2 linked regions of the Drosophila melanogaster genome follow. The protein of the gene in region 2 purifies or fractionates together with the protein of the main gene of each other region. This does not show direct contact. Each region holds a gene or a part of one and is shown on either strand. Other genes may lie near its edges. The genes, in order: Vang and dgo.

The links.
Region 1: the proteins of dgo (region 2) and Vang purify together in Drosophila melanogaster (affinity purification with western blotting; 2 studies listed by BioGRID). This does not show direct contact.

Annotation. Positions count from the first base shown.
Region 1 is NT_033778.4:9,101,639-9,107,561, forward strand, and holds Vang (Van gogh), read left to right. Parts: upstream 1-1,599; 5' UTR 1,600-1,937; coding exon 1,938-2,178; intron 2,179-2,245; coding exon 2,246-3,750; coding exon of another isoform or gene 3,751-3,831; 3' UTR 3,832-5,158; downstream 5,159-5,923. Other genes in the region: CG8777 (uncharacterized protein), read left to right, coding at 1-287, 346-777, 838-1,012, 1,072-1,259, 1,319-1,481; Pgm2a (phosphoglucomutase 2a), read right to left, coding at 5,760-5,923.
Region 2 is NT_033778.4:10,815,335-10,821,530, forward strand, and holds dgo (diego), read right to left. Parts: upstream 4,551-6,196; 5' UTR 3,958-4,550; intron 3,770-3,957; 5' UTR 3,767-3,769; coding exon 3,707-3,766; intron 3,641-3,706; coding exon 3,215-3,640; intron 3,160-3,214; coding exon 862-3,159; 3' UTR 703-861; downstream 1-702. Other genes in the region: Prosbeta5 (proteasome beta5 subunit), read left to right, coding at 4,739-4,885, 4,948-5,649; Lsm10, read right to left, coding at 5,851-6,196.

The sequences.
Region 1 (5,923 bases), 1.7 Mb from region 2:
GTCCGATTGGCCAACGAGGCCTTTACGAGAGCCCAGCAATCAAGTCCCGTGTACGCCAACGCTTGGATTGGACAAGCAATGGTTGCGGAGTTGATTGGCGATCGCGAGGAAGCCTTTGATCTGTTTCGTCACTGCCAGCAGTTCGATTACCATCCGGAGGCGGCGCTTGGATTTGCGCATTGGGTGTGCGAAATGCTGTCGACTCCTGGATCTTTCGACAAGCCGCGCATAAAGCATGCCATCGAACACATGTACGCTGATGTGCTTGCGCTGGATGCCATCAATTGGTAAGTATTATAGTAATGCCCTATCTAAAACCAACTAAAGACTTGCAATACATTTAAGGTATGTGCAAAACGAGGAGACGGATGCGACACCAGCATCGCTGTCGTTCCAGGGATTTCTCTACGCCCGGAAAAACCTGTATCGCCAAGCAATCGAAGCCTTCACTCGGGCGTGTAAGTTGTGCGAACCTGGAGCGGATCGTGACAAGCTCTACACGAATCTGGGATACCTGTACTTAAAAATAGACCAGCCGGAGCAGGCGGCACACGCCCTAAACACGGTTGCACATGCCACATTTAAGCCGATCATTGGCCTGGCCCAGGCATATTATCTAGCCGGTCAGTTGCAGGAATCCTACTCTATTTACAACTCCGTTCTCGGCAACGTGGTTGATCATGGCGATGACAAAGCAGCTACCATCCTCGTGGCTATGGCATCCATGATTTACGACTTTCAGGGCGAAGCGGACACCAAAACCCTACTCTATCAGTGGTTGGTAGCGCAATATTTGTTTTGTTGATTCAACATTTCTAACGTTATAATCACCAAAAGTGTCTTGTTGAAGGAGGTCCCCATTCAGGCGTTGTTTTCAGCCCTTGCCCTAGGTATACTTCATAGAGATAATGCGTTGATCCATACGATACTGACGGAGCTGAATGCGTACGCCTTTAAGAAGGAGTATTGTGCCGACATATCCTATTTAACGGCTCACTACATCCTGATAAATGTTCGTTAAAAGTGGTGAATGTTGTGGTTCTACAAAAGTAATACTATGATTTTGTTTAGGAGGGTGCCCGAAGAGCGTTGTGCTATCTACAGACTCGCATACGAATGTTTCCCAATTCCCGAAGTCTGCGAAGTGTCGTGCTAAAGTTTCTTCTTGATTATTTCTCTGATGACCAATCCTATCGACTGGCTACTTCAAATATGGGTCGAATAACTCTTACTCTGGGACACACTAAGCAACAAAATAGGTAAGACTTGGGAATTTATATACATTGTATTATGATAGACTGAATTTGTTTATATTTAGCATCTTGGCCAGCGAAGAGGCACTGACCACTATATATGCCAGTCAGGCGGTTAGTGCAGTAGACAAAACCTGTTCTATGAAGTTGTTGCAGCGCGCCATACTGCTAAGCCCAACTGACCAGAGAGCCAGACAATTACTTTCCGCTATTATTGCAAATTCATGATATTGTCCAACAAAATAAACTTACTTTAAAATTTAAACTATCAGTTTGGCGGTTGAATTGCCAAACTGATAGTGTTTGAAAACACTAAATGCAATGTGACCGTGCTGCTGATTGTGTTGCGGTGGTCACACTGCGTCGGGGGTGAAGCCAAGTCCACGAAAAAGTGAATAAAAAGCGAAAAATGTGCGAGAAATAGTTAAATAGCGTATGAAATAGCCATGCAAGACACGAATAGTGACAATGTGCCGCAGAATTAGCCGCAGATAAAGCTCTAAATCGCCTATAGGCTATGCACTGCGCCCTGCATACCTGCGTATGAAAAACCTGCTGCCGCCGCAATTACAGTTAGACACTAAAATAGCTGCACGGCCAGGTTGCAAGGTGATTTGGGGCACGTCTCTTCGCGAGCAGGAGATTCGGAATCGGGCATAGCTCTCGCGCGCTAGCCCAATTGCAATGGAAAACGAATCCGTCAAGTCGGAACACAGTGGACGCTCCAGACGCTCGCGGAATCACAACAACAACGGCGGAGGGGGTGGCGGCGGAGGTGGTGGCGGAGGAGGCAGTGTCAACAACGGCTATCACAGGGAGCGGGACCGCTCCAGACATTCCCACCGCAGCACACACTCCTCGAAGTCGGCCAAGGGATTTCAACGTGGCGACATGGCACCGTACCAGACCAGCGTTAATATGACAGGTGAGTTTGTTTAATGGCTCTATCGGTGGAAGGAAACCAATTGACCCATTTATTATTTGGGCACCAGGAGACGGCAGCCACGATGGCCAGGAAGTCATCGAGGTGCAAATCCTTCCGCAGGACGAGAACTGGGGCGAGAATACTACCGCCGTCACGGGGAATACCTCGGAGCAAAGCATCTCAATGGAGGACATAAACAACATGTGGCATCGTGAGAGCGACAAGGGCTTCAGCTTTGCGTGCCGCCGATACGTGGAGTCGAGCTTCTACTTCCTGCTGGGATGCGGAGCGTTTTTTTCGCCAGTGGCAATGGTGGTGATGCCGTATGTGGGCTTCTTTCCGTCGGCCTTCGATCATCCGGAAATAACGCAAACTGTTCGCACCCAGCTGCTGGCCTGCAGTGAGCAGTGCAAGGGCCAACTGGTATCGCTGGCCGCCCGGCTGCTGCTTCTGGCCATCGGCCTGTGGGCAGTGTTCATGCGACGTACATCGGCCACCATGCCACGGATATTCCTATATCGCGCTCTCGTCCTCCTTCTCGTCACCATCTGCACGTTTGCTTACTGGCTCTTCTACATCGTGCAGGTCACAAACGGGGCCAAAATCGTTGTGGAGACGGGCGGCGATGCCGTGGACTACAAGTCACTGGTAGGCTATGCCACCAATTTTGTGGACACTCTTCTATTTATTCACTATGTGGCCGTGGTGTTACTAGAGCTGCGACACCAGCAGCCTTGCTACTACATCAAGATCATTCGCTCCCCGGACGGCGTTTCGCGCTCCTACATGTTGGGTCAGCTGAGCATCCAACGGGCGGCTGTGTGGGTGCTACAGCACTACTACGTGGATTTCCCCATATTTAACCCTTACCTGGAGCGCATCCCAATATCGGTCTCCAAATCGCAGCGAAACAAGATATCAAACAGTTTCAAGTACTACGAAGTGGATGGGGTGAGCAATTCGCAACAGCAAAGCCAGAGTCGAGCAGTTCTAGCAGCCAACGCGCGGCGCCGAGACTCCTCGCATAACGAGCGCTTTTACGAAGAGCACGAGTACGAACGTCGTGTGAAGAAACGGCGTGCCCGTCTTATAACCGCCGCCGAGGAGGCCTTCACCCACATCAAACGCATTCATAACGAACCGGCTCCGGCACTGCCGCTCGATCCGCAGGAGGCTGCCTCGGCGGTTTTTCCCTCGATGGCCAGGGCGCTGCAAAAATACTTACGGGTTACGCGTCAGCAGCCGCGGCATACCTTTGAGAGCATACTGAAACATCTGGCGCACTGCCTAAAGCATGATCTGTCGCCCCGCGCCTTCTTGGAACCCTACTTGACCGAGTCTCCGGTGATGCAGAGCGAGAAGGAGCGACGCTGGGTGCAGTCTTGGTCCCTGATCTGCGACGAGATCGTCTCTCGGCCAATTGGCAACGAATGCACGTTCCAGTTAATTCAGAACGATGTCTCCCTAATGGTAACCGTACACAAGCTGCCGCACTTCAACCTGGCCGAGGAGGTTGTGGATCCCAAAAGCAACAAATTTGTTCTTAAGTTGAACTCCGAAACATCCGTATGACACCACCACAACGCCCCTCCAATCAACACTCCCACTCATAGCAACCAGACGCAATCGTCCTACTTGCATGTGTTTGTCTGATTTTCCCAGCTACTAATTCACATATTCACATATTTTCTTTACTTCAGCCAAATCGATGACGTTCTTGTGAGAACTGCCATCAGGGTAATTGAATTCATTTTTATATATGCCTGAAACACCACAACCAATCAAACCAAGCAATCAAAATTACTTATCAATGAACAAGAGGAGCATTTTTAAATCGATCAAAACCCTGAATTTAAAAAAAAAAAGAAAAAAACATGGAAGTTTAGAAAGGAAAAGTTGTTGTGAGAACAAAATGTCTAGGCAGGCCTCAGCAGCTAAATTTTGATCTTGTAACAAATGATTATTAGATGAGAAGGCAACGTACTTATCAGTGCTAAACTTGAACTTATGACCCGAATATCAAGAAACAATGCTCAAAAGCCCAGTGTATCATCCTAAACCGACGCGAACATATCACACCCTTTGATAAGCAAACATGACTTACAAGTTCCCAAAGTATTAATTATAAGAATGATGGTTTGGCTTGCCGAACCGCGATCTTCAGATATCAACTCTTAAATGCAGCTCTTTTATACACGATTTTTATTTTAGTAAATATGTTTAGTGTAAAGTTGGGCTTACTCTTCGCGGAATATCTAAAATTTTACCCGATATCTGTGAGGCGTGAGCCCGATCGCTAGCCTTAAGAAGGAATGGAGTGAGCCAAGGCAAGCCCATGGAATTTTAGCTAGGACTCGGACTTGCGTCGAAAGTGCATTGGCCACTTTTGACGCGACTTAATAAGATTTTACATACGCACATTTTAAGCCGAAACCGAATGGTCCTAACTCTTCTGCCACAAAGTTGAGAAACGACGAAACAACTATAACTCGAATGCAACTGATGACAAATACATAATATAAGCGAAGACTGCCTGAATATGCATTTTATACACACAAATTGCCAACAGCCACTAGCAGGTGTATGTACTAGCCTGTGCATAGCAACCACATATATACAAAAACTCGTGTATTTTTAGAGACAAAATTATAGTGATAAGGACCCGAATTCGTATTCGAACATGTGTACGTTCCAGTGAACCCAATCTATATATACATACATATATGATATATACCTATTTACAAAACTACTTAGAAACGTTTGCTTGAGGTTTGATTTCATTTTCGTTTTCTAGCTAAATGTCTTCTGTCGAAGCTCTTTTATATTGCAATTATCTAGCAATTACTTAAAGCAATTGGAAAACCAACCTAAGCATACATACCATTTATACATACATTTACTCTCAAACTGTAACTGTTGTAATTGTAACTAGCATAAAAAACAAAATGCGTAAATAAATCAAACCCACTTCTTTAACAGCTTTAAACGAATTGTTCTATCTCGAAGGTGACGCAAATCGTGGAAATGCGCACGTAATTAATTCATTCTTGGGGGTCTTTTGAATGTCTGAAAGTTGCCTTATCAGCTCGGGATTAACAAACAGTTCCTATATTGATTATTGAGCCCAGCAGGTTTACCAAATCGCACTGAAGTATAATGTATGAGTAGATTTAATCGCAATCAATCAAGTTTCAAGTTCTTTGTGATACAAAGACTCGAATGCCTCTCGAATTTCTATGATAAGAGTAATAAGCTCAATTAATTCAAGTGGAGTGAGCACGATGGTCTCATTTCATAAGCTACTTAAATATCAAACTGAGGAAACCCATGATTTGGTGCCTGGTGGTGGATGGTGCGTTCGCTTTTATTTACATTATTTCATAAATACTAGCCAAATGTGAGTGGAATACTAACATATCAGATATCCTTTAAACAATAATAGGCAACAGCTTGCGCTGCTGTTGTTTTTTGGCTTGTGCGTCGTCAGTGCTGTTGGTATAGAACTTTCAATTTTAGACAGGTCTACGTGTTAGATCTTTCGTCCCAGTCGCCTAGCGTATCCGCTTAAAGGTGCATTCGGATTATTCCTTCCTGCGCTGGAGGCCGTTCTTGCTTGGCTCGTAGAATTCCTCGACAATGGCCTCCACCATGGTATTCATTGTATTAGTCAGCTTGGCCCAGTTTTTCTCGTCCGGCTTGCCACACATTTCGGCGTAGTACTTCATCTTGGGCTCCGTGCCGCTGG
Region 2 (6,196 bases):
AACCTACATTGAGACATACTTATACATACATGCGAAGTGACTAAATTATTGGCTATTGTAATTTGTATTTGTAATATGACTATTCAGAATTAAGATATTATTAAGTGGCCGATAAATTTAAGTAGCAGGCGCCGTTCAGCAGCAGTGTCATTTATAGAATTTTAAATTAACTACGAAGACATCGAGAAATCATCATTAGGCACTTGCTAAAATTGTACTAACAATACCGCAGACATATTGGTGAACGATATCAAAATGTTGCCCAATTTACTTGTTTACTTTTGTCAGCGGTGGGGATTTGGTTTTTTTGAATTCCCACCAAACATCGGAGCTCGATTATTGAGATGATTTCCTGGTTGATTTCGTTTACACAATTATACAGAGTTCATAAGCCGCATGTCTATCAAAACACCAAAATGATCTGTTATCAATAAATATATGTACTTGACATTCTGATATTTACACATGCATAAATACTATTATTAAACATTTTTAAAGAAAAATATATTTTGATCGAAAACATTCGGTTGCGTTTGATTTACAAGCGAGCAGGTTGGAACGTTTTTAATATTTTGGGTATTTTTGGGGTCAAAAGTGGAATAACCAAATAATTAAGTACACGATATTCTCATAAATTACGCAGAATATGAAAACACTCAGACCCAAAACTCCTCAACAAAAAACAACAAAATTATTGTACATATATCTTTGTATTATATTTATATATTTTAGACCCTCCAGATTAGATGCATCAGTTGAAAATAAGTTAACTTTTCTTTGTAGTTTAAAACTTGATTACAATTAAGATAAATATGTAGGGATTAGCTATGTACAATGGGAACAGCTGTGGGATTACCGAACTCAAACTAGACTCGAGACATTGTTGTAGAGGCCAACGGCAGACAGCTCGTCCAGATCGATTTCATTGGATGGAAGATTGGGATGAGGCCAGTTCCTTGGCCTTTGATTAACATGGGGCGGCACAATGGCCTGAAAGGTGGGGGACTGCAGAGGCCTATAGGCTACCGCATCCACGTAGTCCACTTGTCTTGGTGGAGCATTTGGATGTGGAATCCTTCCCACGTAAAGATCTTCACTGCGATAGAGACTCGCATTTGGTACGTAGCCGGAGTGCAGCCTTCTCTGCGGAGTTTGCGGAATCGGTGGACGGTGGGGCAGTTCATGGAAGTAAGCATCTTTGGGTATGTGTCTCTCGGGCAGCCCAAACTGGGCGCTACTCCGGTGGGGAATACTATACGTGGGCGAAGGGTTCGAAGAGGTGCCCTCCAAGTGATGGAAGTTATTGTTCAAGCGGGAGTGTGATCTTGCGGCGATCACATGTGCCGTCTGGGAGTCCTGTCGATTGGAGTCAATGGTGTTTTGCAGTTGGGCCACCATATCCCTCACCTGACCAGCGTTCGGCTTCTTTAGGCACTTGATTTCACTGTTCCGAATCTCCACCTTACTCATACTTTCATTGCCATTTTGACGCACTTCTGTTTCCTCGGCGTACTCCATGATGGGATTGGAGTAAAATAAATTCGACATGACGGGATAGTTGTCTTCCAAGCAAAGAGGCTGCCGTTTCATCAGATTGGAGATACCTGCCGCCTCGCTCGCTTGCTCCTTGTAGAGCAGCTTGTCGCCTCCCATTCCCTCGGCAGTTTCATTGACAGCCGTCTCCTCTTTGCCCAGATCCGCGAAGGAGGCATCTTTTCGAAGCGCCTTGATCACCGAGTTCAGCATGTTCTCTCCTCTCCCAATGCGCTGGTAGTACTTATTGTAATCCGGGTGGGGATTGCTGCCCGTGGGTGATGCCTCCCAGTCCCAGCTGTTGGAGTTCTGGGAGGGATTTGAGGTCTCACTGGAGTTCGGATAGCGTCGTATCACGTTGGCGTACTCGTCGAAATTGGGACTATTAACACTCTCTTTATCTTCTCGAAGTTGGGCAGACTCCGCCCTTGGATGGGGATTATAAGGTGGCGATAAGGAAGAAAGCTGGCGCTTGCTCTCCTGTTCGCTGTCCCTTTCCATGATCAGGGTGGTTTTCTCTAAAAGCACTCCCAGTCTTTCGGAGACTTTTAGGAAATCTAGCTTAAGTTCATCTAGCTTCGAGTGCTCCTCTGGTTCCGCCTCTTCTTGCACCTGGTCCTTGTCACCCACTTCTGCCTCTTCTTCATCCCGAGCTTCATTGGAATCGTCATCGCTGTCGCTATCCACCTGGACCTCCGCTGATCGGTGTACTATAGCCTCCACTGCCTGATCTTCCAGGACATCTACACTCCGTGAGTTGGTGAGCCTACCACCTTCGTGGTTGTTTTCCAAGAGCTCTAGACTGCGGCACCTGGACATTGTTCTTTCGATCCTTGAGCTCTTGTTCTGCTGATCGAAGGTGGACCGCATAGGTTCACCTCGTCGCAGGAACTCACTGAGGTGCTGCCTCTTGCTCTCGCATCGCAATCTGTCCTCGATCATCGTTCTTGTGAGCTGTTCAATCTGATCGTTCGTCTTGATTGCCAATGCCTGAACTTTGTGACCTAGACGTTCCTTGGTTTTGTGAACGTATTTCTTCAAACTCTTTCGATTGCAATTTAGTTTGTTTTCAATGTGACGGAAGAAGGGACCGCAATAGCATGTGTTGCCCACGCTGACCGGACCCTTGTGAATATGACCAGCCAAATCCAGGAAGTATTGCTCCCCCGACTTAAGTGGCTCCTTGGGCAGTGTCTCCAGTTTTGGTGAAGGAAAGGCACGCGGATCGGGAAAGTAGTGACAGCCATAGGGTGACCAGTTGATACCCTTGTCCACCACATCCCTTTCACGATCTCTGTCCTTGTCCGATCTGCTGCCGCCCTCCTTGGGTTTCTCCTTGCGATTCCGTATCTTCTTCGGCGTGTTCAGGATCTCGATGATTTCACGGTAGTTCTTCCTGATCGCTATGTGCATGGGGCAGTCGCCTTGTGCGTTTTTAATGCCCAGCCGAGCATCTGCCTCTAGGAGAATCCTTGTCAGCTTCCTGCGACCCATGGCACAGGTGATGTGCAAAGCGGTGTCGCCGTTCAGATTTGTTTTATTCGGATCGCAAAGGGCGGAGAGCAGGATCCGGGAGACTCCTGCATGTCCATATCTGCAGGCGGTGTGCAGCGGAGTATCTCCATACTGAAATTGTTAAACATGTTAAACATGGTTATCACTGATATGATCCAACACTTACATTATTCCGGACATCGGGATCGGCGCCGGCCAGCAGTAGCTCCCTAGAGCTCTGATTGTGACCATTTTGAGCGGCCAAGTGCAGGGCGGACAACCCTTCGTTGTTGGCAATACCCAGGGCGCTATTGTGTAGGGCTTCGATGGTCTGGTGGGCCACCTTCACTCTGCCCTTGTTCTTATCCTTGTCTTTGTCCTTCTGTCCCTTTGCTGCTTTTCCCACCCCCGAGGAAGCGGGTGGCGTGGGGGGCGTGCAGATCAATTTCACGCAGCGACTGAACCCCCGACTGGCGGCCTCATGGAGCGGGGTATTCCCCTGCACGGATTCCCTGGCCAGTCGATCAGCATTGCTGAACAGGAGACCCTCCACCCGGCGATCATCTCCGGCGGCTACCGCCTCGTGCAGCGAAGTCCAATTGCTGGAGTCGGGCTTAAATCAGAAAAAGAAGTTACATCGGTGTAAGATTTGTTGGTTCAGGCAAGTGCCCTTACTTACCCCGGATATCGCATTCGGGAGAGCTTCCTGTTTCGGAATGCGGGAGGATCCATGCTGCATTGTCTGCGAAAATATTCATTATTTATCAAATTTGTTAAATTATAATTTCATTCATTTATCATGATGTGTTGCAATTATAACTTTTTAAGTAACACTTTATCAAAACCAGATAAAATTAAAAAAATTATTTATATTAGAACTACATTTTGTCTTTAATAAATGAAAAATCTTACTTAAAGTACCGTAATTACCGTTAGAATCGTTTATATGTCGAAAATCATATGAAAGATGGTATTCTTTGATATAACCTTGTTGACGACGAAAGAGCTTAACTTGACCTGGGATCAAATGAATCTGATCTTCGATCGCACATTTTCTAGCCGTGTATGCGCATGTATGTGTGCCTCACGTAATGGCGTACCACGTAGTAATTGTCATTACAAATAGAAGTGGGAGTTACCAAAAGCGATCAAATAAAGGACTCGTAATTTGAAATACAACCTTTTTGAGGGTAGATTAAATGTCTTTCATTATAACACATTGATAAAACATGTATGGTTTCTTAAATGTTCAACACTATTACAGTAAATTTCTAGACCTGAAAACCAGGTTTAAAGTGCGCCTAGGTTTTCTCGATTCCCGACTTACTTTTCACTAATTTTAAATCCCGTCTTTGGACCGCAATTTACGCATTGCAATTCGCCACTCTCACGTATTTACACATGTTTACTTTCGACTATTGTTCAGTACCCGACTTTGCAGTATTTGGCCATTGATGGATTGATGGAACGCCCAGAGTTAATTTGGCTTCAAGCCAGGCCTAAAAAGAGACTAAAAGAAAGCCAATCACAGGCAAAATTGGCAACAGGTTTCGAGCTGGGTTGCCGTACCTGCGACAGCTAACGGTGAAGCCGATAGTCTGCATTATTGCTCCAACAGAAGTACGGTCACTCTACAAGTAGGCAACGAATTTTGTTTGTCATCGGCATTTCGCATTCAACGTTTCCAATTGTTTTTTAAGGAGCTTTAAGAATGGCTTTAGCTGAAATCTGCAAGATATCGAATGCTCCGTACATGCGGCCCAATGCCTGGTCATCGGCGGATGTGGAGGAAGAGCAAAAAGGGCTTATGTGCAATCTGGCCAATCCCTACACACTGGCTGCTCCGCCATTCGAGAACGTATGTAGTTAATTAGCTGATCTTCTTGGGAAATTTACTAAAAAATTTGACAATTTCCTCAGCCCCTGCACAACCTTAATCAGATCCAGGCCAATGGCGACAAGACCGGCGTCAAAATCAACTTCGATCACGGCACCACAACGTTGGGCTTCAAGTTCAAGGGCGGCGTTCTCCTGGCAGTCGATTCCCGTGCCACGGGTGGATCGTACATTGGCTCCCAGTCGATGAAGAAGATCGTGGAGATCAATCAGTTCATGCTGGGCACCTTGGCCGGTGGCGCAGCCGATTGCGTTTACTGGGACAGGGTCCTTTCGAAGGAATGCCGCCTTCACGAGCTTCGAAACAAGGAACGCATCTCGGTGGCCGCCGCCAGCAAGATAATGGCCAACATTGCCCACGAATACAAGGGAATGGGTCTGAGCATGGGCATGATGCTGGCCGGTTACGATAAGCGTGGTCCAGGCCTCTACTATGTGGACTCCGAGGGATCTCGCACGCCTGGCAATTTGTTCTCTGTTGGTAGTGGATCGCTGTACGCCTACGGTGTCCTGGACTCTGGCTATCATTGGGACCTGGAGGACAAGGAGGCCCAGGAGCTGGGACGTCGCGCCATCTACCATGCCACCTTCAGGGATGCCTACTCCGGTGGTATCATTCGCGTGTATCACATTAAGGAGGACGGCTGGGTAAACATCTCCAACACCGACTGCATGGAGCTGCACTACATGTACCAGGAGCAGTTGAAGCAGCAGGCCGCTAAGTAGAGTTTTGATTAAGGGAATATAAGATATTCAGTTTGTATACGTTTGAATTTCTTGGAATAAATAAACGTGCTAGAGACTATGTTTTGTGTATAATTGATTGGGCTAATTTGTTTTGCTTTTCATAGGTTTATTACTATAAATGTAGTTGTATGTATGTAATGTATTTTTGGTAAATATAACAAGTACGCATATATTAATAGTTTAGGTTTCCTTATTCTTTTTTTGCTGTGAGATCATTTGCAATGTTTCCTTGTGTCGCACTTCCGCTCGTTTTTGCTTGAATGTCCGCTTTCCGCCCTTGGTTTCCACTCGCTTTCTTCGCAGGACTCCCCGTTCCATTGCGCTTCGAAGTTCCTGCTCGGCATCCAAGTACGAAGGTATGTGGATCTGCCGTATCATTCGATTCCGCACCATAAAGTGATCAAAGGGGTGCTGACCACCATTGCGATCGATGAAAACTGCATGGGTGAGCTCGCAGGTCATGTGTCCATCCGCTACATCGATGATTCCGGCCACAGAGGTCTCGTTGTGCAGATCGATCAGTACG